Linked DNA regions of Caenorhabditis elegans. The protein of the gene in region 2 purifies or fractionates together with the protein of the main gene of each other region. This does not show direct contact. Each region holds a gene or a part of one and is shown on either strand. Other genes may lie near its edges.

The links. The genes of interacting proteins can lie anywhere in the genome.
Region 1: the proteins of pdha-1 (region 2) and vit-5 purify together in Caenorhabditis elegans (affinity purification with mass spectrometry, with the first as the bait; one large-scale study listed by BioGRID). This does not show direct contact.

The regions. Positions count from the first base shown.
Region 1 is NC_003284.9:3,401,820-3,409,154, reverse strand, and holds vit-5 (Vitellogenin-5), read right to left. Parts: upstream 5,685-7,335; 5' UTR 5,675-5,684; coding exon 4,811-5,674; intron 4,741-4,810; coding exon 4,456-4,740; intron 4,409-4,455; coding exon 1,371-4,408; intron 1,322-1,370; coding exon 1,093-1,321; intron 1,048-1,092; coding exon 912-1,047; intron 860-911; coding exon 600-859; 3' UTR 552-599; downstream 1-551. Other genes in the region: unc-78 (Actin-interacting protein 1), read left to right, coding at 1-182, 230-336; C04F6.9 (Gag-pol polyprotein), read right to left, coding at 6,545-6,610, 6,776-6,847, 7,085-7,144. UniProt on the Caenorhabditis elegans protein: Precursor of the egg-yolk proteins that are sources of nutrients during embryonic development. Together with other vitellogenins, may play a role in modulating life-span, acting via induction of autophagy and lysosomal lipolysis.
Region 2 is NC_003280.10:8,064,325-8,068,338, reverse strand, and holds pdha-1 (Pyruvate dehydrogenase E1 component subunit alpha), read right to left. Parts: upstream 2,053-4,014; 5' UTR 2,040-2,052; coding exon 2,026-2,039; intron 1,895-2,025; coding exon 1,325-1,894; intron 1,246-1,324; coding exon 669-1,245; intron 618-668; coding exon 534-617; downstream 1-533. Other genes in the region: gpcp-2 (Putative glycerophosphocholine phosphodiesterase GPCPD1 homolog 2), read left to right, coding at 44-106; Ubiquitin conjugation factor E4 ufd-2, read right to left, coding at 2,396-2,779, 2,832-3,186, 3,235-4,014. UniProt on the Caenorhabditis elegans protein: The pyruvate dehydrogenase complex catalyzes the overall conversion of pyruvate to acetyl-CoA and CO(2).

The DNA of each region.
Region 1 (7,335 bases), on a different chromosome or scaffold from region 2:
CCCGTACTCTGTTGCGAACAACTTCGAGCTAGCTCACACAAACTCCTGGACTTTCCATACCGCCAAGGTTGCATGTGTTTCCTGGTCACCGGACAATGTCCGTTTGGCGACCGGTTCCTTGGATAACAGCGTTATTGTATGGAACATGAACAAACCATCTGATCATCCGATCATCATTAAAGGTAAATATTTCTCTATTAATTTAACACATTTAACAACATTTTTATAGGTGCTCATGCTATGTCGTCTGTCAATTCGGTAATTTGGCTCAACGAAACTACAATTGTGTCGGCCGGACAAGATTCGAATATCAAGTTCTGGAATGTACCTTTTTAAGTCGAGAAGCTTTTTGATTGCCCTCTAAGTATCCTTAAAATTATATTGATTTTCATAATTATCACTAATTTTCGTGTTTACTGCAAGCACTATCATCTCCTTCGAAGCCTTAAATACACGCGTAAATAAAAACTATTGGTGCAAAGCTGTGTTTCGATTGACATCCTTACAACATGTGTATTTGTTTTCTAGAAGTGATGAGAAAAAAAATCATTCTAGTGAAAATGCTTTATTTAATAGAAAATTAATAAAACATATGAAATCTAATAGGCAACGCAGGCGGTTGGGATCTTGACAGACTCAACGAAGGAGACTGGGAAATCGACCAACTCGGCAACAGTTTGCTCACGAGCTTCCTTCAAGAAACGACGAGCGTTCTTGCTGTGGCGTGGCATGCAAGTGAAACGGATCTTCTTGTTGGAAGTCTTCTCGGATTCGAGTCCACGGCGGCACTCAGAGACTGGCTCGATGGAGAAGCAGACGCGGTTGGAGAACTCCTTGATGAGGGTCTTCTTGACGAGTTCTGAAAAATATGTATTTTGTTAAAACTACACATCATTCAGCCTTAGACTAACCCTTCTCAGTTTCCTTCTCATCGTAGTTGCTCTCGTAGTCGGAGCTGCTCTCGTAGTCGGACTTCTTCTCTTCTCTGTTCCATTTGTTTCTGTAGTTCTTCTTCTCGGAGATGCGGTCGTTCTCAACTTCGCATTCCTGAAAATGAAATTTACATTCAGTTCATTGAAAAAATCTGATTACCTCATTCTTGAGAAGGTAAGACCGGTGGAATTCCTCAACATCCTCAGTTTCGTAGTTGTCAGCGGTCATGAACTCATTGTCTCTCTCACCGTCATTGTTTCCGCAAAGTCCGCAAAGTTGGTTTTGTGAAGCAACGGATGGCATGTTGGTCTTGACAGTGTATCCATCGAAACGAACCTCTCCTTGTGGAAGACGAATAACAATAAGGTTATCTCCAAGAATTTCGATACTGAAAAACGAGATTAGAAAAATTCATGTGATTTAGAGTTAAAGCTTACTTGTATTGTTCAAGTTCAGTTGGGTTAACCTTCTTTCCGTCAACCTTGACAAGGAACTTATCGTCAGACTTCTTCACAACAATTTCTTCCTCACGGCGGACAACCTTAACGAGAAGCTCCTCAGAGTTCTTGTTGATCTTCTTGGCAAGAACAGCGAATCTTGGCTGTTCAGAGCAATCCTTGGCAACAAGAGAGTAGCAGGTGGTGAGTGGAGCGCGGTAGATCACGTTGTCAAAGGTAGAAACCTCAGATTGGTCAACCTTGCAGGTGGCTCCGGTCTTTTCCCAGGTTTGTTGGAACATGGCACTACGAGCAATAGTTGGGAGAACGACGCGTGGAATACGAACATTCTTCAACTCAACTTCTTGTTCTGGAGTCTGGATGGTCATGTTCATGTATTGGCGGGAAAGTGGCTCAACAGAAAGTTGAAGAACAACGCGGCGATTCTCGTTTTGGACACGCTTCTCAGAAACAGTCCAGAAGTTGTATGCCTTGATAAGGTCGAAAATGCGGGAGAAAGTGTATTCAGACTGTGGGGTGAGCTTGTACTCAGAGACAACATTGACTTGGTTAAGACGAGCAGCCTTGATCAAAAGTTCGTACTCTGGAATTCCCTTGTACTCACGCTCGATGTTGCGGATGAACTTCTTTTGTTCCGTGGATTGTTCGAGTTGAGCATTGACTGTGATCTCGCTCTTCTTTGATGATCCCCACTTGGCATTGAATGCGAGTTGAACCTCACGGTGTGGTTGCTCACGGAGTTGACGGAGGGATGATGGCATTTGTGGGCGGGCAGCAAGAAGCTCAGTACGAAGAGTCCATTCTTTGTTCTCGTGCTCCATTGGAGAGCGGCGAGCATCCATCTCAACCTTGCACATACGGATCCATTTGTCACAGACGGTACGAAGTTCAGTGTTCCAGTACATTTGTTGTGGGGCTTCAAGCTTGAGGGTGATGAGGTTCTTGAATCCTTGCTCAGATTGAATCTCACGGATCATCTTGTGGAAGTATTGGCGGCGGTTCTCAGATTCGTTGTTCTCAAGGTCGAATTCTTTTTCGAAGATCTTGTCGAACTTGATCTCGGAAAGATCAGTCTTCTCGAGGTTTCCAATAGTGACGCGAGCTGTGAACTCAACTGGACGGTTTTTGTTTTCAAGAGTGTACTCGAAATCTTGTTCAGTCATCAAAACCATTGGAAGAGTCCATTGGGAAAGAACATTTCCTTGGGCATTGATTCTGAGTCCAAAGGTCTCATATTGACGATCAATCTCTTCAGTAGACATTTGGTATTGTGAGTGGGAAATAGTCTTCTCTTCAGCCTCAACATATTCAGAGTCTTGGTTCTTTGGAACACGGATGAAAGCAACTGGGCGGGTATGAACGGAAACAGTGGTCTTCTTGTTCTCTGGGACAACAAACTTGTGAGTGATTTCGAGAGTGTTCTTCTTCAATTCAACAGTTGATTCGAATCTCAATGGAGTGTGGAGACGAGCAGATTGAAGTGACTTGACTCCTTGTTCAATGACTGGATACCAGAAGCGCATCTCAGTGACGTGGGTGGTGGCAACAGTTGGAACGATATCAAGAACAAGACGAGCTCCAAGCTTCTCGAGCTCAATTGAAACCTTTCCGTTGATAGAGAGGATAGTTGGCATCTTTCCAGAAATGGTGAGTGGCATTCCAATGGTTGTTGGAATTCTGCGTTCAGCCTCGTAGAAGAAGAGAGCACGGTGAAGCTCGAACTTGGAGTCGTTGGTCAAGAAAGTGAGGAGGGATTTGATGTCAAACTCTCCGTTTCTGACATACTTCTCAACAAGAGTGTCAATAGTTTCCATGTCAATTGGAAGAACGATGTAGTCCATCTCCTTGTAGCGAAGGTAGAAAACAGCGTGAGCATTTTGAGAATCGGTTTGTTGGACACGTGGACGGATGTTCATCTTCTTGACAATCTCTTGAAGCATTTGGATTCCAGATTGGACACGACGGGAACGGAGTTCATCAGATTGCTTTCCGTAAAGAGAAAGTTTTTCGAGGGTCTTGAGGATGACTTGCTCAAAGTTCTGTTGAGAGAATCCAACTTGAGCGAAGTATTTGTTCCAGTTTCCTCCGAAGACGGTTTCGAATGATGCTTGAACTTCCTTTGGCAAGAAAGCGTTCTTCTCGAAAATGGTGGCGAAGTCGAATTGAACTCCGGAGAGCCACTCAGAGTTGAAAAGTGGAAGTTGGGAGTAGGTGGAGAGCATCTGTTCTTGTGGTTGATAACGGGTGAAGAGAAGGATCTTAGAGCAACGAACAGCCAATTGTTGGTAGCATGGGTTGGTGGATTTGTAGAATTGGCGGAGGACGTTGTAGGTGAAGGCAGCAACGTGTTGGTTGGATTCGTTTTCCATTTGGGAAACGATGTGAGCAAGAACTGGTTCTTCTGGAATGGTGTGCATCATTCTCCAAAGAGCAGCCATACGGAGCTCTGGCTTGTTTTGGCGGTTCTTGTAGACTGGAAGGAGAACCTTCTGGATCTTGCGTGGCATAACGTCCTTGAGAAGACGAAGAGCATCTACAGCCTCAGTGCGGATGGAAAGTGGTTGACGTGGATCTTGGATAATCTGGACAAGCTCATAGACGGAGAGGTCGATTCCGGCGTTTCCAAGGGTCTTAAGAGCAAGAACCTTCTCGTATGTGGAGTCAGCGTTACGGAAGTGTTGCATGAAGACGCGAACGTACTTTTCCTTGGTTTGTCTAGATGCTGGGCGGATCAATGGAAGGTCTTGGGTCTTTGAAGCAAATCCACGAACAACAGATCCTGCGGCGAGCCAGGCAGATTGGCGGAGTGGTTCGTACTTCTCAGAGAGTGGCGATTGGGCGAGTTGGATAAGAAGATCAGCAATGTGCTCACTTGGGTAAAGAGTTTCTTGAACAGATTTAAGAAGCTCAGCAGCTCTCAATGGTGTGATGCTCTTCTTCTCGAAGTGATGAATCAAGTGTTGAATGGTGTTCTTGGTTCCAGCGACAGCCAATGTGGTTTCAATGACAAGTTGAACCTAAGAGAGAGCATGATATTAGTGATTATGAAATGTGTATTGGTTACCTTCTTCTCGGCCTTAGTGTAGATGGTGGTGTGAACCTTCTTGAGTTCTTCGATGGTGCACATGCGGAACATGCGGACGGCGCGGGCAATAAGGTGGACAGTTTCTGGGGTGTTCTGCTCGTGCTCTTGAATTTGGCGGAAGATTTCTTGAAGTTGCTCAACCTTCTGCTCCATCTCGATAGCCTTGAATGGGTTGACCTCAGCCTTGTCTCCTTGTTGGTAGAATTGCTCAATAAGCTTCTCGTTTTCCATGGAGTAGACGATCTCCTCCTTTGGTCCAGAAACCTGAAAACTTGTGTGCTGCTGTTAGAGTTAGCTATCAAAAGCCCGTAAAATATATTTTCAAATAGAATACCTTCTTGATCTCTCTGTTGATCTTGCTCTCCTCGACGAAAGTGACCTTGGCGCGAGTCTCAGACTTGACGACCTCTTGTCCATTGACATTCAAAGTGTAAACGGAATGAACCTCAGATTCTTGCAATTTCTCGTTCTTGAAGGTGTAGGTGTAGACAGTTTGTGGCTTAACAAATTGCCCCTCCTTCTCGCATTCCTTGCACTCAGATCCAAAACGAAGACCATAAGCAGTCTCTGGGCGAGTGATGCATTTGTCGAAGTTGACAGATTTGGTGTAGATGGTCTTCTCTCCCTCTTGAACAATGGTGTAAGCGACTTCGCAGTCTCCTTCCATGGTCTTTTCATGAACATTGAAGAAAAGAGAATCCTTGTCGGATTCCATATCTTTCTGATCTTGGTTCATCTCATCAACTGGAGCTGACTTGCGGAGAGAGAAGAGATTGAGAATCGATCTTTTGGCGTTCTTGGACCACTCGGCATCTTCGGAAGAGAATTGGATCTCAGAAATAAGTCCATTTCTGATTTGAGCACGGAATGGAAGCTCAAGAAGCTCCTTGAACTCATCGGAAAGCTCACGTTGCTCCAAAGATTCGATCTTTGGCCATTGCTCAGATTGTGGAATGTGGGAAGCAGAGTATTGAATATCAGTCAATTGAAGATGAATGTAACGATCATCAACAGCTTGAAGACGGGTACGGCAAGAAATCAGGGTTTGGGAAGCATCGGAAGATGCGGTTGGGAGTCCAGAGAGAAGAAGTCCGTCAAATTTGTAGACGTATTCGCTCTTTGGAGAGAAGGTACGGTCAAGAGCCGGTGAGGCGGCAATCGCCAAGGCGACAAGAGAGGCAATGATTATCGACTTCATTGCGAGAGTGACTATGGCTTCTCCGTTACCCTTTTTATAGATGCAACTGAAATTGACACTATTCCTTCAAATCATCCTATCTTAACAGATTTATTCGATAAAGTCAATGTCAATCTGAACTTTTACCGCATTATCAGTTGAAACTGAAGTGCGCATGTCGTTCAGGTAGCGATCAGAGTACAGCTGTCACTCTTCTAATTCAACGTGCATATCGTGGTCGACGTATATGTGACCGTTATAAGTTTTTCTGAATGATTGCTTGAATGAAGTTAAAAATTTTTCTGTAGTTTAAGGATACATAACTATGTAGAGAGAAACCAATGATTGTGTTGAAATAAAAAGTTCAATTCAAAAATAGTATCAAAGGCTCTAAATAAAGACTTTGATAACTAAACAAAGCCAGAGTATTTGAAGTTACATATGTCCCCAGTAGACAGTTTTGCAAATGTCCCAATTTTAGTACCTTTTAAAAACTTTCACCTATAATTTTTTCCCTGTATGCTTACCTTCTAATTTTTCAACCATTTTAATCAAATGACTTACTAGGCTCATTGCAATTCTTCTTAAATTGTGCAAACTTTGATGCAGTTTTGATGTTAAGGAAACTTTTGACAAAAATGTATTTGAAAAGTGATTGTTTTCATTCACAAAAAGGACAACTTCCACAAGTTTTTTTAACCTAATTTTGAATTTTCCAAAACATGGCCAGGACGAAATAAGGCGTTCATGTTTGCGTTTATATTAAGAAAAAATAACCACATGACAGCTTTATAAAATTGAAATAAATATTGTCGTGAAAGAAATCATTGGAAAACGGGATATTAAAATATCAGGCACGTTGACATTGTATTAAATGAGGTTCATTTGAATTTACTTGCAATTCTCAACAAAACCATTTTCTTCTCCAAAGGCCGCCGCGAGTTCAACCATAACATCCTGAAAGTTTACTGATTTACTGGGAAAAAAAATTTAATAAACATTTATATTTTTGCTTTTGAATTTTTGAGTTCCCCACATATGAACAATTGGCAATTCGTCAAAAAAAATCTGAAGGAGTATCTTCATAGGTATCACTGTTTTTAATTTTTGAATAGAACCTACGTATGCATCTTTTTCCTCGACGGTCACCATTTCCGTAGTATCGATGCTGGAAGTCTTGTTGATTTTGAGATTCTGAAAAAATTGATATTTTTCAGATGTAACTGTTGTTTTTAATCCGAATGTTGAGATTCTCGTTTGTACATTAATAATACAATTTTTTTTGACATCCTAATAAAACCGTAGAATTTGGATTGTGGCGAGACCCACTCAATAAAACAGCTTGTGCATTTATCTCAGATGCCAAAAAATTTCAGAATTACGATATTTAATCATGGAAAAGTTGAATCATGTAACATTCTGCGCTATTACCTCGGTTCGTGCTGAGGCTATCGCTCCCGTAGATTTTGCAGCACTGGTTTTCGATTCCATTTTCTGAAAATTTACGGCATGATTAAAAATGAGAATACAAAAATTATTGATCGCTTCTTTCAAAAATCTGGCTGTGGTCGCATAAAATTAGTACAAAAAACTAAGGAAAGAAGGGAAAGGAAAGGACACCCATTGTGGGATGTGCAAATGACTCAGTCGTCCACGAGAAAAATTGTGTTCGTCGAGACCCA
Region 2 (4,014 bases):
ATATCCATAGTTGATTCGTGAAAAAAACGTTATTTTCTTTCAGCACTTATCTGACAAATTGAACATTACTGGTTTCCAATCGGCTCCCATGGTCTCTACTAAGTAGCCATGTCATACAAATTTTCCTTTTCGTGATATTATTAATTTTATTTGCATCTCTTAAAATATCATCCTAAGTTTAGTGTGCATTTTCATTCATTTCATTTTTCTATTATGAACGTAATTTTATTGCTTTTCTTGGACCTTTTTTATACCTGAAGTAACATTGAAATAAGTGGACGGAAAATTTAAAGGGGTTTTTTAAAAACTTCTCAATTTCCACTAGTTTTAAAGTTTGACCATGAATGATTAACGGTGAGAAAATGTGATTTATGCAATTGAAAATCGAGAAGAAAAGTGAACAACTAGAAACTAGAAATGAACTCATCGGAAGAAAACAGTCACCGAAACTATATAAAAGCACTAAAAACTTAATTTCGTAAGAATTATTATAAATTTTTGCCAGTCAATGTTGCATAGAAAATTCGTGTCGTTTAAGCTCTTCCAATAGACTTCAGTACATCAGCAGAAGTTTTGAATGGCTGGACGATAGTTTCATCAATAGTGGCTCCGCGAATCTGAAAATGTGAACAATAATTGACGAAAAAATAATGAATGTTATTACTTACCTCTTGAGCTGGGGTGTTGTGATAAATATCGGCGTAGAGAGCTTCTGGTGGGAGAACACCGTCTGATGTAGCAATCTTCAACGCTTCATCGACCTCTTTGCGAACTTCCTTGTCAATAGCCTTAAGTTCTTCCTCTGTGGCCAATGAAGATGTAATGATACGGTCCTTGAATCCAGTAATTGGGTCTCTTGTTTTACGAACTTCTTGAATCTCTTCACGGGTACGGTAGCTGGTTCCTGGGTCAGACATAGAGTGTCCATGGTATCTATAGGTGGCCATTTCCATCATAAGTGGTCCTTTACCACTGTCACAATATTCCTTAGCCCACTTGGTAGCCTCGCGAACAGCGAGAATGTCCATACCATCAACCCAGATTCCAGGAACATAGTCTCCTCTAGTATAATACTCGGTAGAAGCAGATGAACGTTCAGCAGTAGTTCCCATTCCGAATCCATTGTTTTCGCAAACGAACAGAACAGGAAGATCCCAAAGTTTAGCCATGTTAGTCGCCTCGAAAAGTTGTCCTTGATTAGCGGCACCATCACCATACAAAGTAACACATACATTCTTTTGTTCACTGAAAATAAAATAAAATATTTAGATGAAAAAATATGAGTTGTTCTCGTAAAAAAATACATCAAAATTTGTTAACATACCGGTATTTCATGGCCAATGCAACTCCAGCTCCAAGTGGCTGTTGTGCTCCAACAATTCCGTTTCCTCCATAGAAATTCTTTGTGTACATATGCATGGATCCTCCTTTTCCGTGAACATTTCCGGCAACTCTACCGGTCAATTCAGCAAGAACCTCGGTTACGGTAGCTCCAAGAAGCCAGGTCCATCCGTGACAACGGTAAGCAGTGATGACGGCATCTCCTTCTGTCATTGCAGCCTTCATTCCGACGGCACAAGCTTCTTGACCAGAGTAGAGATGACAGAAACCGCGGATTTTCTTCTCCTTGTACAAGTTTCCAGCAGCAGACTCCATGCGACGAATGACCTGCATGTCACGGTAGTACTTGAGAGCATCTTCTCTGTTCAAGGTGACAGAGGTGTTTGGTCCATTGTCAAGTTTATGAAGTTTGCATGGCTTTGTGTGGAATGATACTTCCGTGCTCGCAAGACGAACTTGCTGTGTGCGGATTCCACTGGCAGTCAAGGATTGAAGTTGTCTCGCGAATAAAGACATTGCCGTCGACCAAATACGTTCCAGATGTACCAAGCTACTGAAAGCAGTAAATATATTTCAAAAATAAAAATTAATCGGATTTGGGATGACTGGGAACGTATAAATATTATAAGTTATTGACATGTAACAAATCACAAAACAATACGACACCGTTCGTTATAAACCTACAGAAATTTAGTCATTCCAGGTTCAAGGCTAAAATCAGAATATGTGAAGAAATTCACAAAGAATAAAAATATAAGTATGCGGATCGGAGACCGCAATAGAAGCCAAAATTTAGAAAATAAGTAAATTAGTATAAATTTATTCACATTCAAGGCACTACTCGTGTTTTTTAGGTTTGATGAAAGAGGGCAAGAATACCAACTTTAAGGAATCCATGCAGAAAATGAAACCGAAACCGAAAGATTAGACCATTGAGAGACCAGAAAAACTTATAAAATGAAAGGAACGCGTGAAATTTACAGACATTTTGCACATGTGCAATGGTCAAGTACAATAAATACAAAATTGGGTAACAATAGAATATGATAGAAAATTATTTCTTTGAATTTCTTTTCTGGCAAATCCATTCCTGAATCTTTGCCTTCAACTCAGAATCGGGAGAAAGCTCATTGTGCGACAAGGGAGCACGATTAAACGGATTATTGGGTGTACTGAGAAGATGCCTCTCGATGACTGCACGATCCATCACGTGTCCTGATGGCAATTTGACAGGATCAACCATAATTGCATCCATAATAGGATCCTTGAACTCTTCTGGTACATCATCATACTCTTCTTCAAGCTCAGCTTTTGCCTCATACTCTTTTTTAACATCTTCGGCCAAATGTTCGAAACTTTCGAGTTGACTGAATCCAACAATACTATTCTTTCTCATGCATTCAATCGCATTATGGAAGAATTCAGGACTGTAGGTACGCTGAAAAATAATTAAAATAAATCTCTTTGAATAAACAAATGTGTTAACCAACCTCGTCGTATGCTATGTATTTAACAAATGCAGGCATATTCAGCTTTAAATAGATTGAGATCAGCAACGATACAAACTCCCGTGGTTCCCATCCATAACTTCTTGGATCCTTGACTTTCAACTCGGAGGCCTTGCTACCAATGAGTTGCGATAAATTGTGATTCAACATTGCAGCAAGTCTTTCGCCGAGAACCGGAGTACGGAAAGGTTCGGGTGAGTTTACGGTAATCGATAGTAGCAATTTAAGATTACTTTTGGCTGTTCCAAGCCATCCCTTCACTTTACGTTTTGCCTCCTCGTACACGCCGAGATCCTGATTACGGATTTCTTGATCTGTGTTGTCCCATTCGACTTTGCTGAAAATAAAATTTATATTTTTAAGTTATCATTCGAAATAGTCTTACTTCGCCATCTTTTTCTCAACATCATGGATACTCTTCAAACCAGACAAGCTCTCATCTATACACCATGTTGCATCGTTAATCACCATATTGACAAACCGAATGAACTCTGCTCCGCATTCTCTTGCCATGTCCATAAACTTTCCTTTGTAGAACATATCTTCCTCCATTTTTTCCAACATGTACTGGATATTTCCACGAACGTTAAACTTTTCATAAAAGTCACCATTGTCTTCGAAATCCGAGTAGAACTTTATCATGCACATCAATAAATTTTCTTGTGCCATTCGAAGTCTGACCACGTTGAACCATAATGGAGGTTGAATAGAAGACAGCACTCTCACCAGTTTGGAAACGAGAAATGGGCTTTTGATGTAGTGATATTGTGTGAAAAGGACCGTCAGACGGGAAATCCAATCCGCATTTCTCTCCATGAGCAGTTTCATTCCATTGGAAATAGCGAATATGTAAAAATCGAGAGCATCCTCTAGAAAATATTCTGGGAGCGCACAAAACATTTGTGATACTTCAGTTGGAAGTTGACTGTCGTCTCCGAGCAAATCCAAGTTATCACAAAGCAAATTCAAAATGAATTTCATCTGCTTATCGACAAAATCCATAGAAGATGCCATTAATGCAGGATCTTGAGCTTGTGTCTTAACACATAAAAGATGACGAGACATGAGCTTCCAGTGTTCAGTCTCATAGTTCAACTTCTTTTCCACCTCAGCTCTCTCGAATCCTGACACAGTATTTAGTTTTTCTTTGAGCGCATTGATCTTA